4 linked regions of the Drosophila melanogaster genome follow. The protein of the gene in region 1 interacts with the protein of each later gene in a pairwise test. Each region holds a gene or a part of one and is shown in the gene's direction. Other genes may lie near its edges. The genes, in order: CG9632, lcs, Npc2g and FoxP.

Evidence for each region.
Region 2: the proteins of CG9632 (region 1) and lcs interact in a two-hybrid assay, tested with the Drosophila melanogaster proteins (one large-scale study listed by BioGRID).
Region 3: the proteins of CG9632 (region 1) and Npc2g interact in a two-hybrid assay, tested with the Drosophila melanogaster proteins (one large-scale study listed by BioGRID).
Region 4: the proteins of CG9632 (region 1) and FoxP interact in a two-hybrid assay, tested with the Drosophila melanogaster proteins (one large-scale study listed by BioGRID).

What each region holds. Positions count from the first base shown.
Region 1 is NT_033777.3:15,857,263-15,862,416, forward strand, and holds CG9632 (uncharacterized protein), read left to right. Parts: upstream 1-2,933; 5' UTR 2,934-3,085; coding exon 3,086-3,742; 3' UTR 3,743-4,216; downstream 4,217-5,154. Other genes in the region: CG31183 (uncharacterized protein), read right to left, coding at 1,069-2,677, 2,736-2,919, 4,509-4,673, 4,827-5,154.
Region 2 is NC_004354.4:21,395,604-21,400,039, reverse strand, and holds lcs (la costa), read left to right. Parts: upstream 1-2,723; 5' UTR 2,724-2,759; coding exon 2,760-3,197; 3' UTR 3,198-3,313; downstream 3,314-4,436.
Region 3 is NT_033777.3:30,743,498-30,748,033, reverse strand, and holds Npc2g (Niemann-Pick type C-2g), read left to right. Parts: upstream 1-2,770; 5' UTR 2,771-2,800; coding exon 2,801-3,280; 3' UTR 3,281-3,429; downstream 3,430-4,536. Other genes in the region: Npc2h (Niemann-Pick type C-2h), read left to right, coding at 1,774-2,247; CG15543 (uncharacterized protein), read right to left, coding at 4,218-4,536.
Region 4 is NT_033777.3:9,725,097-9,733,572, reverse strand, and holds FoxP (forkhead box P), read left to right. Parts: upstream 1-2,700; 5' UTR 2,701-4,139; coding exon 4,140-4,678; intron 4,679-4,736; coding exon 4,737-4,914; intron 4,915-4,970; coding exon 4,971-5,148; intron 5,149-5,207; coding exon 5,208-5,252; intron 5,253-5,337; coding exon 5,338-5,414; intron 5,415-5,481; coding exon 5,482-5,583; coding exon of another isoform or gene 5,584-5,646; exon of another isoform or gene 5,647-5,955; coding exon of another isoform or gene 5,956-6,165; exon of another isoform or gene 6,166-6,422; intron 6,423-6,559; coding exon 6,560-7,003; 3' UTR 7,004-7,553; downstream 7,554-8,476. Other genes in the region: alphaTub85E (alpha-Tubulin at 85E), read left to right, coding at 425-427, 770-1,294, 1,423-2,244; hyd (hyperplastic discs), read left to right, coding at 8,048-8,109.

The sequences.
Region 1 (5,154 bases):
GGATATGCTAAATTATGCAATGTTGCGTATGCTCGATTCGCCGGCGGGTCTAGTGCTCCCCTCTTACCCGCTATAAGAAGTCGCGATCTGGTGGAAACACCGCAATCAGTCGTGTGACAGGTGATAACTCAACTAATGGACAACTGGCGGGCAACTCCGACCCAATCACCACCAACTACGATCAACATAAATAATTTTGACCCAAGGGTTCGGTATGGCCGTTTCTGCTTACACACAACATACCACATACACATTGTACAGTGGAAACAGGTGAGATTCATTTAAATGAACATAGCTTAATATATAACATTTTCGATTGCTATAATAAATTCAGGGAGAGTTTGTTTAAGTGATTTAATTTTAAGCTATCAAAGGTTTAAAGTAATTCTCTTATCAAATTGAAGGTAACAAATTTTCTGGAAACGGTCACGCTAGCTTTCAGCCCTGGTTTTCAGCTTGGCGCCCAGTTTTCAAACCATTTTCTTATCAGAATTTGCGATTACTTTACCATTCCTGGTTTTCAACACACCATCTTATCAGAAATTGTGATTATTTCAATATTCCTTGTTTTTAAAACCCTATTTCGACATACTGCGGGTAAAATATACAGATTATATAGATTTCTTTATTCGTCAATTCTCAAAATAAATATTCAATGTTCATCTAATACTTTACATTCAAGAAATTTTCACAAATTGTCTACGCTTAACCTTAGGTAATAACTAAGCTAAGTTTTTGAGTTTGTAGAGAATGAATATTCAAAGCACAAGGAACAAATTGATTGGGAGTAAGTTTCTATTTACATCTAGAGTTGCCTTTTTTGTTTTTATTTTTGTTTAATTTGAGGTTTGGTTAAATATAAAATTCGCTACTTATGAGTAAGGGGATGGGGCGATTAAAACCTAGGAAACATTTTAGAAGATTTCCCGTACGAATTTCGAATTTGATTCGGTCGACTATTGACTAACCACTAACTTGTTCAACTTGGGTTTAACTTATTATCACAAACAAGTACATTTAATATGCATATGATTACAGTGAAGAGGGAGTCGACTCCCCCCCATACAGCTATGAGTTGATCTTGGCCAGCAGTGGCTGGGTGACGGCACTGCCCGCCACCGGTGGGCACTGCTGCTTGTAGCTCTTCACCAGGAAGCCGTAGTGGCTGCTGTCCGCCGGAATGTTCTGGCCACTGCCGCTCCGTTGCGGACTGGCGGCCACCATCTGTGGAATCGGTGGAGGAGCAGCCAGCGGCGGCGGTGTGGGCAGCAGTGGGGTCTCGTCTCCTTCAGCAAACTTGATCCTCAGCTGCCCACTGCCCATGCTGCCCGTTTCGGGGCCTGGGGAGGCATTGGCCTCACTCCTGGCGCTTGTCAGCAGCGTTGAGATCGTGGGCGAGGGCTTCAGCCGGGTGCGTTGGACACCCAGTGGCGGCGGCTGCAGGATACCGCTCAGATTGGAGCTGGAATTCGAGTGCACATAGCCGTGGCTATTGTTATTGAGGTGATGGTGGCTCTTGAGTGCTCCGCTCAGCGGCAGCCGGAAGTGTGCCAGCTCCCAGCTATCGGAGGTTTCCTCCATGTCCCTCAGACTGCGGCTGCTGTAGATGTCGCAGTTCCTCTGGGCAGCCGCCGCCGTATCCAGATAGTGGTTCTCAGTCTTGTGATAGTCAAAGCCGCCGCCATTCAGCTTGGGTGAACTGGAGCTGATCTTGCGTTTCACGCGGAGATTGGGCGAATCCTTGGACGGCGACGGTGGCGGTGGCAGAGCGATCGCAGGTGGCGGTAACTGGGGTGGTGGCGAGGCCACCACTAGTTCGGAGTACTGCTTGTGAAGATTATGCGATTGGCTGCGCTGCGGTTGTTTCAGTGAGGAGCGACGCGTGAGCATCAGCTTGCTGGGCGAGATCAGGGAGTTGGGGCGGGGTACCTCGCCCTCCAGCCAGTAGGTCAGCATCTCACCTTTGCCCTTCATGGGCACAAATCCGCGGCGTGTGGTCACAAAGGTGCCGAACTCGTCGAGCGCCTCCTTTGTGGTCTCACTTATGTGGATCTTGAGCGCTTCACCATTGGACTCCATTCGGGAGGCAGTGTTCACAGTGTCACCAAACAGACAGTAGCGTGGCATCTTCAGGCCCACCACTCCGGCCACACAGGCACCGGTGTGCAGGCCTATCCTTAGCTTCAACCGATCCTCCGGACGATGGTGGATGCGGAAATTGTGCACCGCCTCCAAGAGGGCCAGTGCCAAACGGGCGATCTCCCGGGCGTGCTGATTGCCATTTCGAATGGGCAGTCCGGACACAACCATGTACGCATCTCCAATGGTCTCCACTTTGTAAACATCAAAGTTCTCCACAATGGAATCGAAACAGGTGTACAGGTCGTTCAGGAACTGCACCACCTGCATGGGCGTGCTCTCCGCCGAGATGGCAGTGAAGCCCACGATGTCACTGAAGTATATGGTCACCTGGTCAAAGGTCTCCGCCACCACTGGCTGTCCGCTGATGAGCTGGGCGGCGACGCTTTGCGGCAGCAATTGGTACAGCAGCTTCTCGCACTTCTTTTTCTCCTCGTGGTAGTCCTGGGTGCGCTCCTCCACCAGTTCCTCCAGATTGTTGGCATACAGTTCCATGCGCTTCAGCAGATTGTCTACAATGTTTCCCGTCTCGTTGTCTCTGTAAAGCAGTCAAAGTTAGTGAGGAATCCATAACTATGGATTCAGTTAGTACTTACTTATTAAATCTGCGTATCATCGATTTCAGGGTATTAAAGTCCGGACGCTCGGCAGGATCCTCTGCCCAGCAGCGACGGATTATGCCATTGATGTCCGCCTTGGTATCACCGTTTGGTTCAAGTTCAGGACGGAATGGTTTCTGCATTCTATGAGGATTGTATCCCTTCACGAGTTCGATTATTTCTGATCGTACGACAAACAAAATAACGTTGAATTAGCCTTCAATTTGGAAATAGTTTTGTGTAAACATGTTATGTAAATTATTCGTGTTAAGTGCAGTTTTATGTTAACACCAGACTGGATCCTTTGGTGGATTCCGAATTCGGACATCTAAACACCGTTCCGCAATATGAGCACGGGAATGGAATATCTGGACTTGGTCAGCTTCTTTGCACATGCAAAGCCTCCGAAACCCCAGGAAATGAGGCCTTGCAACCAGCACGAGATCCTGCTGCAGCTCATCTGCAATCGCCGGCAATCGCTGAGCAAGGCCCAAATGGCTGATCTCCTGTGGAACATGACCAGTGGTCCGAAAAAGAAGCTCAAGAGAAGGCAGTGCGGCGGCATGGACAACCGGAATCCATCAGAACCGACCGATATTGAGGTGGTGTTCGGGTGCAGGGAGAAAACACCACCTTCCACCATTTCGCACAGAGGCTGGGAAAGATCACGCATCGAGTGGCTGCGCAAGCTGGAGGTTCAGCGGAGGCAGTGCTACCAGGCGTGGCAGGAAACACCCGGACCCGATGCCAGCATCAACGCAGGTATGAAGTCCAGCAAGAAGGAGAAGGAATGCGGAAAATCCCCAATAAAGAACACGCCATGCGAGAAACACAACAAAAACCAGAACCAAGCCGGCGGTAGAGAGAAGGACAAGCACAAGAAGAAGACCAGGACCAAGAGGAAGCTACCCGGCTGCTGGGCCTTCCTGCCCTTCGGATGCGGCTTGAACCTCGCCAACGATTCCAGCTGCCAGGACGTGCCCCACCGCAGAGAGAGTTCGTGATTTGCCTTTTTCGACCAGCCAGCACTTTGATTTCGATTTCCAGATTCGCTGGCACCGCAATTAAATTCGCCTACAGACGTCGTCTAGTGCCAGATGCCAAAGTTGCATTCTGCGGCCTAAGGACGAGTCTGATTCCCAGTCACGGCCTAATTTGATGAAATCGTCAAGTGCCAAGTAGAAGGCAAAGTTTTTGAAATCGGCGCGGAACTCGAAGTTGGTCTGCGGTTCAACAGGGCAATGTGTACTTCAACCAGGAAGATAGAACATCATAAAGGCTAGCAACATACATACTTCAAAATACAAGTACTTTGGGTTTCGTGCTTGATGCAGGATCTTTAATTAAATAGAATTGCTAAGCCGAAGGCTCCTATTTTGGTACATTTTTATTAGCAGAACATTTCGCTGACTACTTAATTTGGTCTTTTAAGTTCGTTTATAAAATGATTTGAGTGAATTAAATTTCAGCATCCAACTAATTTTTTAATGTTTACCCTGTTTAAGATTATACAAAAATATTGGCATTGGACACGGGCTTTCACTATTTCGACTGCGTATTTTGCAGTGCTCCTCCTTGCTCCTCCAACCACAACCGCCTTAACCACCAGCCGAGTGGCCAACTGACGGGCGAAATAACCGCAACATGTGCAAAAATCTGGCATTAAAATTCCGCACAGACAAAATCGGCCGCAACACGAAACGGCCAAGTGAAAAGGACACTCGAAGGACGAGAGGAGGGTATAGAATGTGAAACACTTGAATAGCATACCTTGTGGCGATTTCTCGTACGCACATCTGCCCAGGTAGAAGGGTCCTTGTCGCGTGGTTATCTCGTGCACAATGATTCCAAAGGCGTAGACATCACCCTTCTGTGTGCCCTCCGGCGGACGATTGTGCTCCACTCTCAGCAGTTCGGGGGCTGTCCACAAGAGCTCTGTACGGGAAAATAAGTTACATATATATTTAAAATATATTTCGAAACTTGGAAAATAATATTAAATAAAAAAATTTACAAGGAAATTCTTGCTGCATTCAATTAACTTTTTGTTCAGTGCACTGCACACAGTAGCAAACTGGGACTACTTACTGCTCCAGTAGGCGTGGCTATTGCAGTTGCCCCCATCACTTTCCAGGTCGAATCTCGTCCGCCGCAGGGTGTGCAATCCAAAGTCGGTGATCTTGAGCACAAATCGGGAGTCGACCACGCAGTTCGAGGACTTCAGGTTGCCGTGAGACCGAATGTCGGAGCTGTGTAGAAACTGCATTCCACGCACGATGTCGTGCATCAGCGACAGGCGGAACATCCAGTCCAGCTGGAACTGCTCGTTCTCGAGGATATCCTGCAACGAGCCCTTGGGACAGTATTCGGTGAGCAGGAAACTACGCCTCTGATCCAAACACGCGCCATAGAACTT
Region 2 (4,436 bases), on another chromosome or scaffold:
CGACGAGCAAGGGCAGCCCAGCACCTGTTAACCCTAGTCTGGGAACGGTGACGTTTCGGAGGAGTAACCCTCCACGGGAGATCGAGTGTAAAATGGACGAACAATAAAGATCAAGGAAATAAAAGGTACTAAGTGTTCGTTCCTATACCAAATCTTAATTTTTTTAGCTTTTTTAGTTCCGGATATAACACCGTTCGTATGAACGGACAGACGGACGGACTGACGGACGGATGTTTTCAAAGAACTCATTTAGGGTATCATTTCTACGTGTGTAAAGCAGCTCTAAACAGCCATTGTTCTATACCGGCATTCTCAATTGCACACTCGCGCAGACGCTTCCACACTCACACACACACAGAGCCAGAGGCATTTGAAAAAAGTGTAGACAAATAACAATTGAAGCAACAAGACCAAAAACTTAATTAAGCATTTTGTTGTACGATGCTGCAACAAAACAAATTCCTCTTTAAATAAAGCACCGAAGCAATTTATTCCAATTAACAACAACAACTTCATGGTATGCATATGTGCGAGCGAGCGAAACGGTGAAGCCGGAGAGAACCGAAACGCTACTGGCATCGGATGGAAATAATTGAACAAAAACACTTTTCAACACTGCAAATGACAGTTGCGTAAATTCCTAGAAAATATTCGGGGTCGTTGGTTGCTGAGAGAACGATGCATGTAAATCATACTATTAGAAAGAAGACGAACTTTGTATACAAACAAAAACCTTGATGAAATTTCACTTACCTCCACGGCCAATAACGTTCGCTTTTATTTCTAGAACATTTGCGTAGCCAAAAAAAAAAAATAAGAGGAAATACATATCACATACACCAGTTACACCAGTAACTATTTTGACAAAATAGCCTGCTTCTTTTAAAACTTACTTGCGCTTGACATTAACAAACAGAGCGAAACGATGAGCATTTGCATTGCTCATGAATGATGAATGAACATTTAGCACACCAAATGCAAATTTGTTTACGGCTTACCCATTGCATTCCCTTTCTACTTACAAGAATGCACGCAGACAACCATTTACTAAATGGTATCCTGCTTTTGAGCTTTAATATATTGGTTATTATTATTTTTTTTTTTTTGGTTATTAAACGTTATTAAAAACAAAAAAAATAATTAATAGGTATGTGTAAAAAGTTAAGTTTGTTTATTAGATTAATGGATTAATGGTAGCACAATTTAACGTTGGAATTAAAGTAAAAAAAACATTGCGAAAGAGTTTAATTTGTCACGCCATTCTGTGTATTATCAAATTAAAAAGTTTTGAAAAATTTAAAAAGAACTAAACCTAGGCGCAAAACAACATTCGCTGACGACAGAATCCTTATACGGGAATTTAAAAAAATCCTCTTCCAAAACACCAATCTCAGTGGTATCTGACCACCAGCCTTCCGAAAAGAGAGGAAGGATCCAGAGATCCTTTACAATTTGGTGGATTCAGTAAAGGACCGACTTCAAAAAGTTATTTATGCCAAAGGTGGATATATATTTTATTAATTGGTTCCCTACTCCTAAGCTCCAGCTTCAATTAAACTTATTTACTGAGGTGTTAAAGGCTTGTCAAAAACTTTAAGCCAATACAAAAAATCATCATATTTCATTAAATTGTTTATATATTTTTAAGTTTCGTTAGTTAATTTTTAAATTTATGTTACTTACACACAACAACAAAAATCATTGTTGTCATATCAAAATATTTTAAAGTTTTACTGCGTTTATATTGTCAAAATACTTATGCCGACTAGTGTACATAAGCATATACATAGATGTATCGTCACATTATATTGAGTTTTGAGTAAAGCACTAATAAGTGGTAAGTGGTAATATAGCCCCAAGAGGATTTTTTTACTATCGACATATAGTAAGAATGCACTGAATTCATGTTAAGTAAGTCATTTCTGTAGTATTAACAACTTAAAGATTTATATAATAGACTTTCCAGAATTTCTTACGATTTCTCTTTCCTTAGTTGTTTTCAACTTTACGTGTTTGCAAATTTGACTTTCATTAAAGCCTAACGGAACCACTTGTTCAAACATCCTTATTCTTAGGTAATTCACACTCTTGTCAAAGACACGATTGATGGTTTATAAACATCAAGTCCACTGACGCCTGGCCACAAAGTTCATCACATATGGATGGAGCGCAAATATTTAGCTAGATAATGGCTCACGGAACTTGCTGATTCCTTTATGTAAGATCCATAAAGCAATCCAAACAGCTGGTAGAAATTATTCGTACTTTACTACCATAAGGTAAAAGCATTGTTAAGTTCTGAACTGAAATAGTTTTAGATGCAATTGATTTTAAGACGCATTTATCCAGCATTCAATTTTATAAAACTTTATTTTCAAATATGTGTAATAGTACCATTTCAATATGAATAATTTATTAAATTCAGAAAAAATAGAGAAGAGTATATATTTTTTATAGACTCATTAACAAAGCTTTGTAACCAACAATTTTGGAAATAAACCTAAACATGAATCAACCATTGTCTACAAACTCATATTCTTTCCATCTGACAGAACCCCAGAGTGAAGGCCAATGTCAATTGCGAAGTGACTGACTTGGAAAGTGGAATTTACAAATCCACACTGACGTTAGTTTGCTCAACGCGCAAACGTCACCGATGGAACACATGTGCCACCGAGACTTTTAGCAGACGGTGGGTATATATACCGATGCCAAGTAATGCCGAGATCAGTTCGAGTCGTTAACTATCAGATAACGAAATGCGTACCCTTATCCTTGTTACTCTTGTTGCCCTGGTCGCAGTGGCCTCCGCCCAAGGACCTGGTCCTTGGGGTCCCGGTGGACCTGGTGGACCTGGTGGACCAGGTCGTGGTCGCGGAGGACCAGGACGTGGACCTGGCGGACCAGGTGGCCCAGGAGGTCGCGGACCTGGAGGACCTGGAGGACCAGGAGGCCCAGGAGGCCCAGGAGGACCAGGAGGACCAGGAGGCCCAGGAGGACCAGGATGCCCAGGAGGACCAGGTGGACCAGGAGGCCCCAAACCATGGGGACCTCCATCCAACCAAACCACATCCACGACAACTGAGGCCTCAACAAGCACTTCCACCACGACAGCTTCGTCCACTACAGTGTCCTCCACTACAGAGTCCTCTACGGAATCCTCGACGGAATCATCCACAGCATCCTCCACAGAATAAATCGCTTGACATGTTCCCCTTCGAGTTTTGCCCATTCGGCTATTCCGGGTTCATAAATAATTGTATATATCAAAAAGCGAATCTGTGCGTAATAAATTTTTTTTTTTAGCTCAATCGTGATTTTTTTATCTAAGTTAATCCTTGAATGCCAAATAGTTATCCAAAGGATCTTCATCCATGTTTGGCTTATGATCAACTTGATGTATCAAGCCAGAAGGTACATGCGAGTACCACGCGAGCCATTTAATTACTTCGGCCAATACTAAAACTTTTCGTGAGTTAAGTAATTTTAGAACAATTAGTTAAATGGCATTATGCAATGCCAGTGCTAAATTATCCACTGGCGATTAGGAAGTGCATTGAGAATTTGAAGCAAATCATTCCCCGGGCCAATTGGAATCGAACTTATTCGAGCCGGCCTCGTTTCTCGCTTGGGTGAAAGCCAAATTGTTTACCAATTAAGTGCATTTGGTCAATTTGCGACAGAACTGGCGCTAGTGGAATCCAAGAAGAAGGTACAGAAGCTTAAAAGGATGAGCCCGAGGAGCAGCAACTGGATTAGGAGGCATTAAAAGTTATAAAACAACAAGATTATGGCTTTGCCATAACGAACACACACGCATTCACTCAACTGGTTATGTGCCAGTGAACAAAGGCGTTTAGGGTGTCCTCTAATAAATACTCTTGTTTTCAGGATGTGTTTCCAGGTCTACGGTTTCTTATAAAAAGAAATTTGAAAAAAAAAAACACTTTAATGTATGTGTATGAGTAACGTGCTATTTCTCAGTTCTGGTTACTTTAGATATTGAATATAAGCCACTCCAAAATGTTGCATTCTTGGATTGGAATGATATGTATTATACAATAAATTGTATGTGATAAGGAACGATTGAAGTGTATATGATTGTGACAGTTTAAAGCATTATGGCTCATTAGTATTAGCATGTAGATAGCATGTAGAAGAATTTGTGTATATATACATATATACATATACACATACATACAGTATGTACATTCGCTTCTGAATATATAAAGTATATATATTCTTGATCAGAATCAATAGCCGCCCACAATTTTTTTACATTTTTATTAGTCTTGTAAATTCCTATCGATGTACAATAAAAAACTTTTTGCCACGACCACTCTAACGCCCTAAAACCGCACAAAACTGCCACGGCCACATTTTTGAACCATTTTTCGATATTTTATCGAAAATAACTCTACGAACTCGACTATAAG
Region 3 (4,536 bases), about 15 Mb from region 1:
GACTTTCCCACTTTTCCTGCTGCCACTTTGATGAGCAGCAGTCCATGTTGACATTTTTTGCATATTAATTGAAGACAAGGCCTCGTCTCCCATCGCCCTTTTCCCTTTCCCCACCCCCGGCCAGTAACCTCGTCCACCCTTGGCTTAATTTGCGGTAAGTTCATTAAGTAATAAAACATAAATTTCAGTTTTGTGTTCTCAACACCCCGTCGTCATCAAGTTCTTGATACTTTTCCCATTTTTTCGCTGCTGTTTTGGTTGTTTTTTTTTTTTTTTTTTTGTTAATGCTTTGCATATTTCTTTAATGAATTAATTCTGTTTTGGTTTCGCTTTGGGTTTCGGTTCTGTTGATTCACCGTTCACTGGACTTTGATAAAAAAAAAGGCACAAAGTCGCCGCGGAAATAAAACTGAGGCACATTCGCCAGGGGAAAGGGGCTCGAATATTTCGTATAATTTATGCGAAAAACATTAGGGAAAACGGAGGAACGCGTTTGTCGAGTGTTAATTATGCTCTGGCTGCAAAACTTTCCTATCAATTTTTGAGAATACAAATTTGAGAGCGCAAAAACATGTTTTGCATATGAAAACAGAGATATGAAAATTGGGGGAAAACAGGGAAAATGTTGCGCTTTGCCAGTCGTTTTCCTCGGCGGCTAATTGCATACTCCTGGGGATTCCCGTATAAGAGTTGAAAAATCGCGCGCATCAAATTGCAATTGCCGGCGAACACTCGAAAAAATCACTATTGATTTGTCGGAATATATGATAAGTGAAGCTCAAGGTCTGATTCCACATCCCACATCTAATTGGTTTGCAATTGCTTTTTAATTGGATCATTGTACCTCAGTTAGCCCTGGTAATTTCGCGCAGTGTACCTTGGGGTTGGACTGCCTTGGGGTGTCAGGTTGTCAATCGCCTCGCCTGTTGTTTGTTGCCCCTGATTGTTGACATGCATTCCCGCAAATGAGCCGTGCAATTGTCGTGCTGCCTCCTATTGACAGCTCCCAGTTCGATAGTCAAATAGTTCGATGCATATGTACATCTCGCGACGGGACCTCATCCTTGGACCCGCGGGATTCGTCTCGAGTTTCAGAGTCGCAGCGTGGAGCACTCCTGCATTTTCACATCTCGGGGCTTCCCTGACTGACAACTGTCGGTTTCCATCTCGGGGTGCTGACACTGAAAAGTGTGACGATTTATTTGTCATATGGCGCGGGGTGCCGAAATCAATTGGTTTTGTGCCCGGCAGATGCCTTAGATCTGCGACACGGGCATTGACAACCTCAACTGGACTTCATTTGTCCTGGATGCGACTGTCATTTGCTTTATATTCAACTCTTCCGTTGGGCTCAGATTCCAGGCTGACTAGTGCTTGTCGGCGGTACTAAGTGGAATTCCATTATAAAACAATTAATTATACTCTATATTTTCCGACATTCGCTGCCTGGTGATAACACTTAGTTCCCGGCTGTTGATAAGAGCTATTTAAGAACTCGAAATTTTTGAAAATTTTGCTTTTCTACTCTAACTATTGGGTTTAATCCATCCGCCTTTAATAAACTTTGGGAATTTGGGTATATTACAATTTTTGTTTGCTTCAATTTTGTGACGTTTTAATACGAACGTCATCCGGTGTTAGAAACTATTTTGAATAATTTGAATTACGTAAGAAACATTGGCATGCTCCATTCTCTAGAGTATAGCATTCTATCGCCACAATCCAATAGACTTTAGCCACTACGTGCATTCCGCGTCCGACTTTCGATCCATCATGTTGCGTCTGAGTTCGCTCCTGCCTGTCGCCTTTGCTCTGGTGTTGTCATCCGTCTCCGCTGAGATAGTCAACTTTCAGACTTGCGAAGATAGTGTGGACTCCTGCTCGATTAGTCAGGTGCGGGTGACGCCCTGTCCGGAAGCCAATGCCAATGCCGCATGCCACATTCGCCGGAGGCACCGCTTCACGATGAGCTTCGACTTTACGCCCCACTTCGATGCGGACACCCTGGTGGCCAGCTTGGGCTGGGCCAAGAGCGAGAACGTGGAGCTGCCCCTGCTTACCATGGACCAGGAGGCCTGCAAGTACACCACCTGCCCCGTGAGATCCGGAGTCACCCAGACCTACACCAACAACATGCCCGCCGACGCCAGGTTCCCGCTGAGTCCATACACCATCCGTTGGGCCCTGAAGGATCCGGTTTCCCAGAAACGTTGCTGCTTCACCATCGACATCAAGGTGGTGCGCTAGCAAGGTGCACTCCGTAATGGATGCTCCACTTAATATTTGGATTAATATATATCTTAAATATCTTCGAAATTAAAGTGATTTACAAGTGGGTCGATACGATAGTTTGGTTTGGTGTAATTAGCGGCACCTGTTTATAATCTGTATACCCAGTAATTGGACTCATTTCACCTTGAATATGTCAGCAGAACAAGGAATGCTGCTGATATGAGTGCCAATTAACACTTTGAAATGACTAATTAGGTAGAGTATGCCAATAAAATATGCGGGGTTACCTAATTTCTTCTAGTTGAAAATATAAATACTCTACTAAAAATGTGGGAACAGCCATAACTTTTTTAATATTTGATCAGAATTTTACAAAAACGTAAAGTGCCGTCTGCGACACCCTTACAATTCTAAGTACATTGCGATAAGGAGCTCGAATCTAATCAGCACGCCTGGAGCCACAGATGTGACCCAGTTCACGGGTCAAACGGGTACGTAGATAAGCCCGGCTTTGAGTCCGAGTCCGAAGTAGAAGTGCCTGCATTCCGTGTCTGGCTTTCGATCCATCATGTTGCGTCCTAGCTCGCTGCAGGCTGTCGCCATCGCCATCGTCCTGATCTCGTCATCCGCTTCCGCCGAGGTGGTCAACTTCGAACCATGTCCGGATAGCGTAGACACCTGTACGATCCAGCAGGTGAGAGTCTCGCCATGTCCGGAGGCCCTCAACAATGCGGCTTGCAATATCCGCCGGAAGCACAACAGTGAGATGAGCTTCGACTTCACGCCGAACTTCGATGCCGACACCCTGGTAGCCAGCTTGGGCTGGGCCAAGAGCGAGAATGTGGAGCTGCCCCTGCTCACCTTGGACAGCGCCGCCTGCAAGTACACACCCTGCCCCGTGAGATCCGGAGTGAAACAGACCTACACCACCCTGGTGCCCATCGAGGCCAAGTTTCCCCTGAGTCCGTACACCATCCGTTGGGCTCTGAAGGATCCCGTCTCCCAGAAGCGCTGCTGCTTCACCATCGACATTAAGGTGGTGCGCTGATTTGTGCCCACGCTGCATGAGCACTAAATTAAATAGTGAAATATACCTTTTTTCCCAAATAAAATAAATTACCGTGATGTTTAAATGATGTGCAAGTTTCTTAAAATACAAGGAGCTATATTGGCTGCTCCCCTGATTGTGGCGAATGCATTTATTTTCTGTTAACGATTTGGTGCGTTTTTTTTAATTATAAGTGAGCCGGCTTACGGCCCACTGGGGAAAACCTCAAGGAATAAAGATATTTACTCCAATAATCATCAACCTGCTGGCGACTAATTTGAACCCCCGGATGCCTCGGGCAGAATGAAAATGTATAAAACTTTGATTGAACTTTTGGGTGCCATTAAAAAGTCTCCCCGCCCTCGGCAGCTTTCCTCCACGGGTCTTATCAGCATCGTCAAACAATTAAAAATTGAGCACTTAAGTTGTGGTCATAAAATCATTTGTTTTTTCTCTTATTCTCCTCTCATTTTTTCCTGCGTTTTATTGTTTTTCTGTTCACATTTTTCAGTGGTGGAAATTCAAATAGAAAATCACTTTTTGCTACTCAGCGTTTTCAAGGCGTGGATGGTGATTTGCTTGGTGGGGATTTGTTTACCAGTTTTTGGTTGAAAAAGAAATATTAAGCGGAACTAGTTATACCGTATTCGCTGGAAAATGTTCTTGATGGGTATCCTATAGTCGGCATATCTAGCCACACGTTTCTCTTTTGCTTCTACTGTTTACCTAAACGAAAACGTCGCAATATTTTTTCGTTGGATGGGAATGGGGGTTTCGGTCAGAAGTCTGATAGGCCTGACCCCAAAAAAGCAAGGCAATAATAACACAAACAACGACAGACACTTGAGCAAATAATAATAATAACGAGAGTAATCACAGAAAGGACTCCAAGAACACATTGTTACTCAATTTGGATGCAGAGTGGCTGGAATCAAATTCAGATTTTGGCATTTGCCTCGCCGTATTTTTTACCCAGCACATAGGGAGTTTTGGTGAGCTCCGAGATGATCCCGCACTTGACCTGCTCGAAACAAGGTGACGCATCCACATAGACCACTTCTCTCCGCTGGCTGAGGTAGGAGCTTAGAGCAGGTTCACTTTTCCGGAACTGGGCCATCTGGCGGTCCACAAAACTGACGTGAGCTTGAGGTCCTGGCGAGTAGCTATTGAGCAGGATTCTCATGCGAGCCAGACGCTCGTCGATTTGTAGGAATACGAATCGATTCGGTGGCACAGTGAAGCCCTCGAAGAGTTCC
Region 4 (8,476 bases), 6.1 Mb from region 1:
CAGAAATAAGACTTGCTTTCCAAGTGGAGACTAGTACCCAGTAAGTAAATAATCTAAAATGTTGTCAACAACCTACAGCTGCGAATGTGAATGGATCAATGTGAGAATTCAATCCATCCATAAACACACGAGGAGGAAAACAAAATTCGATCAAGAGGCGACTTCTTGGTCATGTGTGTCTGGATGGGTTGGGTGCCTATCGTCACTTAAGTCGATGAACGCGTCCACATTTCACATAACTTCCACATATAGCATGTAGCATATAGCATATGCTACATATGTCTGTCTTGGGGGCTTATAAAAGAACGCGTATCGTCAAGATTCGGTTAGTTGACTCCCAGCTGTGTGTCGCATCACAGACCAGTGCTAGGATTTTCGTGATTGAATCTGCTTTTTTAAACTTCAGCTTAAACTTTTGATCATCATGGTAAGGATAATAGGCACTTTCAATGATTTAGCTGGACTTTTGAAATTTCGTCGGCTGCACAGAACTATGGATCCTTAAAAGTCCTTATATGCGATTTCATGCAAAACTAGACCATATGGTGCAATATTTATTCATTTTTGCAAGTGATTAATTAATGGTTTTAAAAAATATAACTGCTTGTAAACTATTATCTTAAATGAATACCCAAGAACTTACAGCGATCAAAATTGTTTGTAGCATATGGTCCAAATCACAGATTTGCAACCGGAAGTCCAAAGTTAAATTTTAGAATTACCCAAATTTACAGCGACATGAGTCACATTATTATAAACTCTGTTCCAGAGGGAATGCATTTCGGTTCACATTGGCCAAGCTGGTGTCCAGATCGGCAATGCCTGCTGGGAACTTTACTGCCTGGAGCACGGCATCCAGCCCGATGGCCATATGCCCTCCGATAAAACCGTGGGCGGAGGCGATGACTCCTTCAGCACCTTCTTCAGCGAGACTGGAGCTGGTAAGCATGTGCCGCGTGCCGTGTTCGTGGATCTGGAGCCCACTGTGGTGGATGAGGTGCGGACAGGAACCTACCGCCAGCTGTTCCATCCGGAGCAACTGATCACCGGTAAGGAGGATGCGGCCAACAACTATGCCCGCGGCCACTATACCATCGGTAAGGAGATCGTCGACGTGGTCCTGGACAGGATTCGCAAGTTGGCGGATCAGTGCACGGGTCTGCAGGGATTCCTGGTCTTCCACTCCTTCGGCGGCGGCACTGGCTCTGGATTTACGTCGCTGCTGATGGAGCGCCTGTCCGTGGACTATGGAAAGAAGTCAAAGCTGGAGTTCTCCATTTACCCAGCACCACAAGTATGTCATTTGCATATGGATATTATATCTATTGCTTGAGCATTTATAGAAGACCAATTAACATAATTAGTAAAAGACATGGGAAATTAGTCTTCGAAAGGCAATCTAATAATCGAACTTCCTGTTAGGTGTCCACAGCTGTGGTCGAGCCATACAACTCGATCTTAACCACCCACACAACGCTGGAGCACTCGGACTGTGCGTTTATGGTTGACAACGAGGCAATCTACGACATCTGCCGGCGCAACTTGGATATCGAGCGACCCACCTACATGAATCTCAATCGCCTAATTGGCCAGATCGTTTCCTCCATTACGGCCTCGTTGCGCTTCGATGGCGCCCTGAATGTGGATCTGACCGAGTTCCAGACCAATTTGGTGCCCTACCCACGCATTCATTTCCCACTGGCGACATACGCTCCCGTCATTTCCGTGGAGAAGGCCTACCATGAGCAACTGACCGTGGCCGAGATCACCAATGCCTGCTTCGAGCCGGCCAACCAGATGGTCAAGTGTGATCCGCGTCGTGGCAAGTACATGGCCTGCTGCATGCTCTACCGCGGTGATGTGGTGCCCAAGGATGTGAACGCAGCCATTGCCACCATCAAGACCAAGCGCTCTATCCAGTTCGTCGACTGGTGTCCCACGGGCTTCAAGGTGGGCATCAACTATCAGCCACCCACCGTTGTTCCTGGCGGAGATCTGGCCAAGGTGCAGCGCGCCGTCTGCATGCTGTCCAATACCACTGCCATTGCCGAGGCCTGGGCCCGTCTGGATCACAAGTTCGATCTGATGTACGCCAAGAGGGCCTTCGTCCACTGGTACGTGGGTGAGGGCATGGAGGAGGGCGAGTTCGCCGAGGCTCGCGAGGATCTCGCTGCCCTCGAGAAGGACTACGAGGAGGTAGGCATCGACTCCACCACCGAACTGGGGGAAGATGAGGAATACTAGAGAAAACGTTGTCAACAAATGATACAGCCATTACAACTTTATAAACATCACTTTCTTTCTACCAAATACCAATGCATAAAACAGTTTCGCAATAAAACAGTTTAACACAATTGCTTAAAATGGCTTATTTAAATGGGAAATATTCGTCTTTAGATGGAATTTAACTTTTGTGTTAATAAGAATAAAACTTTCTCATATAAGGAAATTGGTAAATCATATATTTATTGGAAATTACCCCTCCGTAAAAAACCCTACTTATCACTTTCTTATTGCTTTAAATATTAATATTAATTGGGCAAATTAATGTTGACTTTTAAAAGTTTTTAATTTTTGAAATCGTTACGTGTAATGGAGCCTTAGGATGCATTTTGAAACGCATGCGCAAAAATGTGTACACATATTTCTAGCAAATTCAGTAGTCGTAGACGTACCTTTTCAGGAGTAGCAGCGAAAAATATTCTTAAGATAGTTTTTAAGTTTAAATTAATTTTACATATATGTGAAAAGTTGTATTAAAAAATTCGCCCGTTATTAAATATAATATTGTTCTTTGGAAACCTCTGTGAATGTTATTTAATTGTAAATGTACATGCAAAATTGTATCCTCTTTTGTCTGCAAAATTGTATGTGCATGTATGTATTCGCAAAATTTAAGTCTAGTCTGTTAAGTTAATTAAGATATTGTTGAGTAGTCTAGGCAGACAACTTTATCTTAAAAGTCCCAGTTTAAACAGTTCTTATACAGAAATTGTATGATATGTATACATATGAAATATGAATATTTTATTTACCCATATATACCCCTTGGAATAATCAATGCCCCCAACGAATACAGACAATGCAAATCTACACAATACCAACAATATATTTATCTTTATTCGCCTTTACACAAAAAGCTTATGTATATCGAATATAATACTATTTTTTCAGGATCTTCGAATGTGATGAAAACCATACCTCTCTCTTCTCTTTTATATCTTTCTTCTTTTCCTATAAAACATTTAATACTTACATATTTCACCATTTACATTTATTCTTATTTTAGGTGGCTATATAATTTTTCATTACAGGAATTTGATTAAAACAATCGTAAGATGGTCCTATCTGCAAAACTCATATACTCTTCCATTTAAGTTCATCCTATAGCCAAAACGTCCGTCCGTTTTTATATCCGTTTGTCCGTCCGTTTGTATGTCCTTCCGTTTGTATGTCCGTTTGTCCGTCCGTTTGTCCGTCCGTTTGTCCGTCCGTTTGTCCGTCCGTTTGTCCGTCCGTTTGTCCGTCCGTTTGTATGTCCTTCCGTTTGTCCGACCGTTCCGTCTGTATGTTTCTTATGTTATGTATGTTGTATATGTTTCTTTTTAGCAAAATAAGATGTGTCTGGTTTCCTTGCCACCTATGCAATCCCCTTGTGAGATCTTAAACTTGTTATACGCCTAAATATGATAAATGCTTTCTATGAATAACCTTTATATTTACAGATTAACTGCACCGGATGACGTGGCATTTTATTTGTAACATATTTAAAATTAAATCAAACATTTAAAGAATGTTTAATTTAATTTACACTGAATTCATTTAGCACTGGGCCTTTAGTAGGGGTTAAATCTTATATGCGCCAAGTTGTTAAATATTCATAACTTTTGGGGAAAGTATCATCTCAATGATAGTGCGGGAAAATTAAGCTGAAATTAAATAGGGCGTAATAAATAGAAATCCTTAAACTATCACTCTGATTCGGAGTTTTACAGGAATGGCGGCATATGAGTAAAGATAGTTTTATTGAAATGACTCCTAATGACAGACGAAAAAGAGATTATTTCTGTGTATTTGCATATGCCCATCTCTTGGGTAAAGGATCAATGGTAATGATTATAAATTTCAGTTTTAAAAACATGCATCGGATACATGACGACGAGTATTCCGAGGATGCCAAGGAATCGGACTTTAAGAGTTCGATTCAGAAGGAGATATCAGTGAAGTCGAGACACCAAATTTCCATACCAGACATATGCTCAGATGCTGTTAAGAACAATTGTTTTCCGCCGACTGGCTTTCTCAATAACTCGATCACCTTTGCCTCACATGTAGTTAAGTGCAGCTCACCGGCCTCGAGCATCGATGAATCCTCAACGGCGGCCCAGCAGCACGAATCCAATCCACACATGCATATACAGGGTCAGCATATGATGGCTCCCGTTCCCGATCTGGGTTTCTACAATGTGCCCGAGTTCATATCCGAGCAGGAGAAGCTCATGTTCTCCGATGCAGAGAGATTCTTGCGGTCGAAGGATAATGAGGTGTGCAACAATGATTTCAGCTATATGCACGATGAGTTCGCCATGCGGAAGTACTATCATCCGTTATTTGCTCATGGCATATGCCGTTGGCCTGGTTGCGAAATGGATTTGGAAGACATCACATCGTTTGTCAAGTAGGTGGAGTACAATTAGAGGTATGAAATAATTATATAGGGTATGTTATCTAACTAGGCATCTGAATACGGAACATGGTTTGGACGATCGATCAACAGCACAGGCACGGGTTCAAATGCAAGTTGTCTCCCAGCTGGAATCCCACCTGCAAAAAGAACGAGATCGCTTGCAGGCAATGATGCATCACTTGTATTTGTCCAAGCAGCTTTTGTCTCCCACCAAAATCGACAGGAAGGTAAGTCCCTTTTTATGTGAGTAAGTATTGGTATAATGAAAAGTTATAAATATAAGGACGTGCCCGGAAGAGAGGGAAAGTTTTGCCGGAGTCCGCTTACCGTAAATAGCATAGGCCGACCCATCCGACAAACAAATTCACCGAGTCCTCTGAATCTTCCAATGGTTAATTCCACCAACTTGTGCTCGATCAAAAAGAGAAACCACGACAAAAATACATTTTCCATAAATGGGGGTAAGTTTGGGAAAAATTTACTATTACTGTATAAAAATAATAATGGTTTTTGGATATAGGATTACCCTATATGCTTGAAAGAGCAGGTCTTGATGTGCAACAGGGTAAGTAAATTATGTAGACTGATCGTCTTGATGACTATTCGTCTTGTGCTTCTGGAAGACATATAATAAGAATTTAAATTTGCAGAAATCCATCGAAACAGAGAGTTTTATAAGAATGCTGATGTACGACCGCCTTTTACTTATGCTTCCCTCATAAGACAGGTAATTTTAAAAACCAATTTCCTAATATAACATTAATTTATTTTTTTTATATATATTTTATTTATAGGCTATAATTGACTCCCCTGACAAGCAGTTAACCCTAAACGAAATCTACAACTGGTTCCAAAACACATTTTGCTACTTCCGGCGCAACGCAGCTACGTGGAAGGTAAAATGCCCCATATATGTAAATCTTCTTTCCTCCATATTATCTATATATTATGCAACATAACTTTAATTTGAGTATTTATGCTATATGATATGATATCTATGATCTGATATGACCATTTGTCCGTCCGTATAACTCTCGTTTGTCCGATTGGCGTTCCTAGCTTGTCCGCTGTATATATACTATATACTACCTTTTCCACATTGTCCACTACTTTGCCAATATTTAAGAGTATAATAGAGCTAAATACAAGTGATATATAACAAGGTAAGCTACACAGGTCAGATCCTGTTTTATTCCATTTCCTTTTTATATGTCTTAAAATAATCAAATTAAGTTTGGCCTATGCTAACTGATAATATATATCATTAGAACGCAGTCCGGCACAATCTGTCCCTTCATAAGTGCTTTATGCGGGTTGAGAATGTGAAAGGAGCAGTTTGGACTGTCGATGAGATTGAGTTTTACAAAAGACGACCGCAGCGCACTGCTGGCATTGGTAACAATCTAACCGGTGCTACCAATTCGCCGGACACTAACTATTTTGTAGCCATGAACATTGGGTATGTGGGTCTCAAATAGTTTAATTCTACTCACTTTGCTCCAAACTCCTTCCGTTTTGCTCTGTTAGTAAATATACATATGCCATTGCATGCATGCTCCTATATCGAAATGATATAATATGACATTATACGATCTTTTTACAGCGCAAATTGTAAACAGTGATTCTAATCTCTTAGTGGTAGAAACCCAAAATGATGTCCGTCTGCTCATCGATCTGTCTGTCTGTCTGTCTGGAATTTAGCTGATGAAGATTATCCAGGATTTCGCGTGTTATGAAAAATGAAAATAAGAAGACCGAAGACAAATGAACTAACCTTAATATCTCAATGAACTTTTTCTTCCTTTCACGATAATGCAATTTCCTGTTTCTGACTCTTGATGGGGCTCTTGTTTTGTCCAACCAATCATAAAGAATGCGATTCGTACGAACCTTTCCTTACACAAGTGCTTTGTACGTTATGAAGATGACTTTGGCTCGTTTTGGATGGTCGACGATAATGAGTTTGTCAAAAGGCGGCACTTGTCGAGAGGGAGACCCCGGAAATATGAACCGTCCTCCTCCCCAAATTCATGCCAATCCGGCAATGGTGTGCCCACTGATAAGAATCCCTGCGACAATTGTACGCAACATTGCACTAGTTTGCCACCGGGTGCTGATAATCCTCTAGATTCCAATAATCCAAATGATTTAGGCAGAATTGGTTGTCTTCCCTATTGCGGTAGTGATGGTTTAAGTAAAGCGTCCAAGGACTATAGCAATATGGACTCGGGTATGATCGAAAGTAACAGCCACTTGACAATCGATGAATATTCTACTAATATGTACGAGAGTAGTGCCAATGAGCACAATCGATAAATAATATATCATTAACTATACATATATTTAGATGCATTGTCGAGTAATCTGCGTTTGGTAAGAAGGTTCGGATTCGGAAATTATATCTGTACATACACATGGTTCTATGTATAATTTCCCAAATAGAAATGAAAAAATACTTTTAAAATAAATTTCACTAATGCTATAAAATAAACGAAAGAACTACGTTAAATTATTAAAGCAAAATTAATGTGTTTAAACTTGCTTTAATAACTCCACTTATAACACGATTTTAATATACGAGTACAACATATATGAATATTTTCACTTTTCAGCAAGGGAGAAAACATTTAAAAGCTATAGCTTGATAAAATTTTAACAAAACTGTTTTAAAAGTCACAATATGATTTTTTTTTAAGGAAACTATTTTCAGGTATACCTTCTGTTAAAAATCTGGACCCTTGAGAGCTTTAGATTTGGAAACTCCTTAGTAAACGTATATGCTTTTCTGCTGACTTATCTAATTTCCTTCTAATTTAAGATCATTAACGATACTCAGTGACCTAAATAAATTCCTCAAATATACAACAAAGTGAACAAACTGAATTTTATTTCTAGTTCCTAAGCAAACGGTTTACGCGACGTAAAAGCGGTTAAATCGGCTTCTCAAAAGTTTGTCAATCAAAGTTTTCTACCAATTCATTATTTTAAAGCGGTCTTTAGTATATTTTAGTATATTCTATTGGAGATTTTTTGGACTGCCACTATTTAAGGAAAAACAACCGATAAGAATGGACGCATTCGTGAACTTCTGTATCTTAAATTTAATAAAATATATACAGCCTAAGTACACATATTGTAGTCAATGTCAATTTAATTTGAAAGTAAAGTTTTTGTTTACCAATAAATTTGTTTGGAGAATGTATCGATACCGTCGAATTTTCCGGCAACCATCGATACAGTCGGGCGGCATCGGTTTTCGTCCCAGCTCTAGCCAGTACGGTCACTCTGAAAGTCTCTCAACGTTTTGTGACATGAAAATTCAACGAGGACACTGTGTACATGAATAGTTGAAAAATTAAAATGGTTTCCATGCAATTTGTTTTGCAACCGCTACCGGGCTCGGACGATCAGTTTATTGAAAGGTAAATATAATCCTCGCGTACCGCAATTACGCACATGTGAACGCGGAATTCCGTGTAATTGTGTACGTACGGCTGCATGTATTTGTTATGTGAAAATATGTAGGTACGCAGCTATATGTATACGCAGGAAGATATGTACATATGATCATTAACGTAAAACGCGAGCCACAGACACTGGCGGACTTACCTCATCTAGTGCCGTCCACGCGGTTCTGTAAACATTAGCCGCAGAATTTGCGAAATGCACTTGCGTTTCCCACTTTTCATCCACAATTAATTCTCTAACCATTCGCATATGTGTGTGTGTGCGAATGTGTGCGACATGTGAACGGTAGCATGTGTGAGTGCATGTGCATACATGCTGATT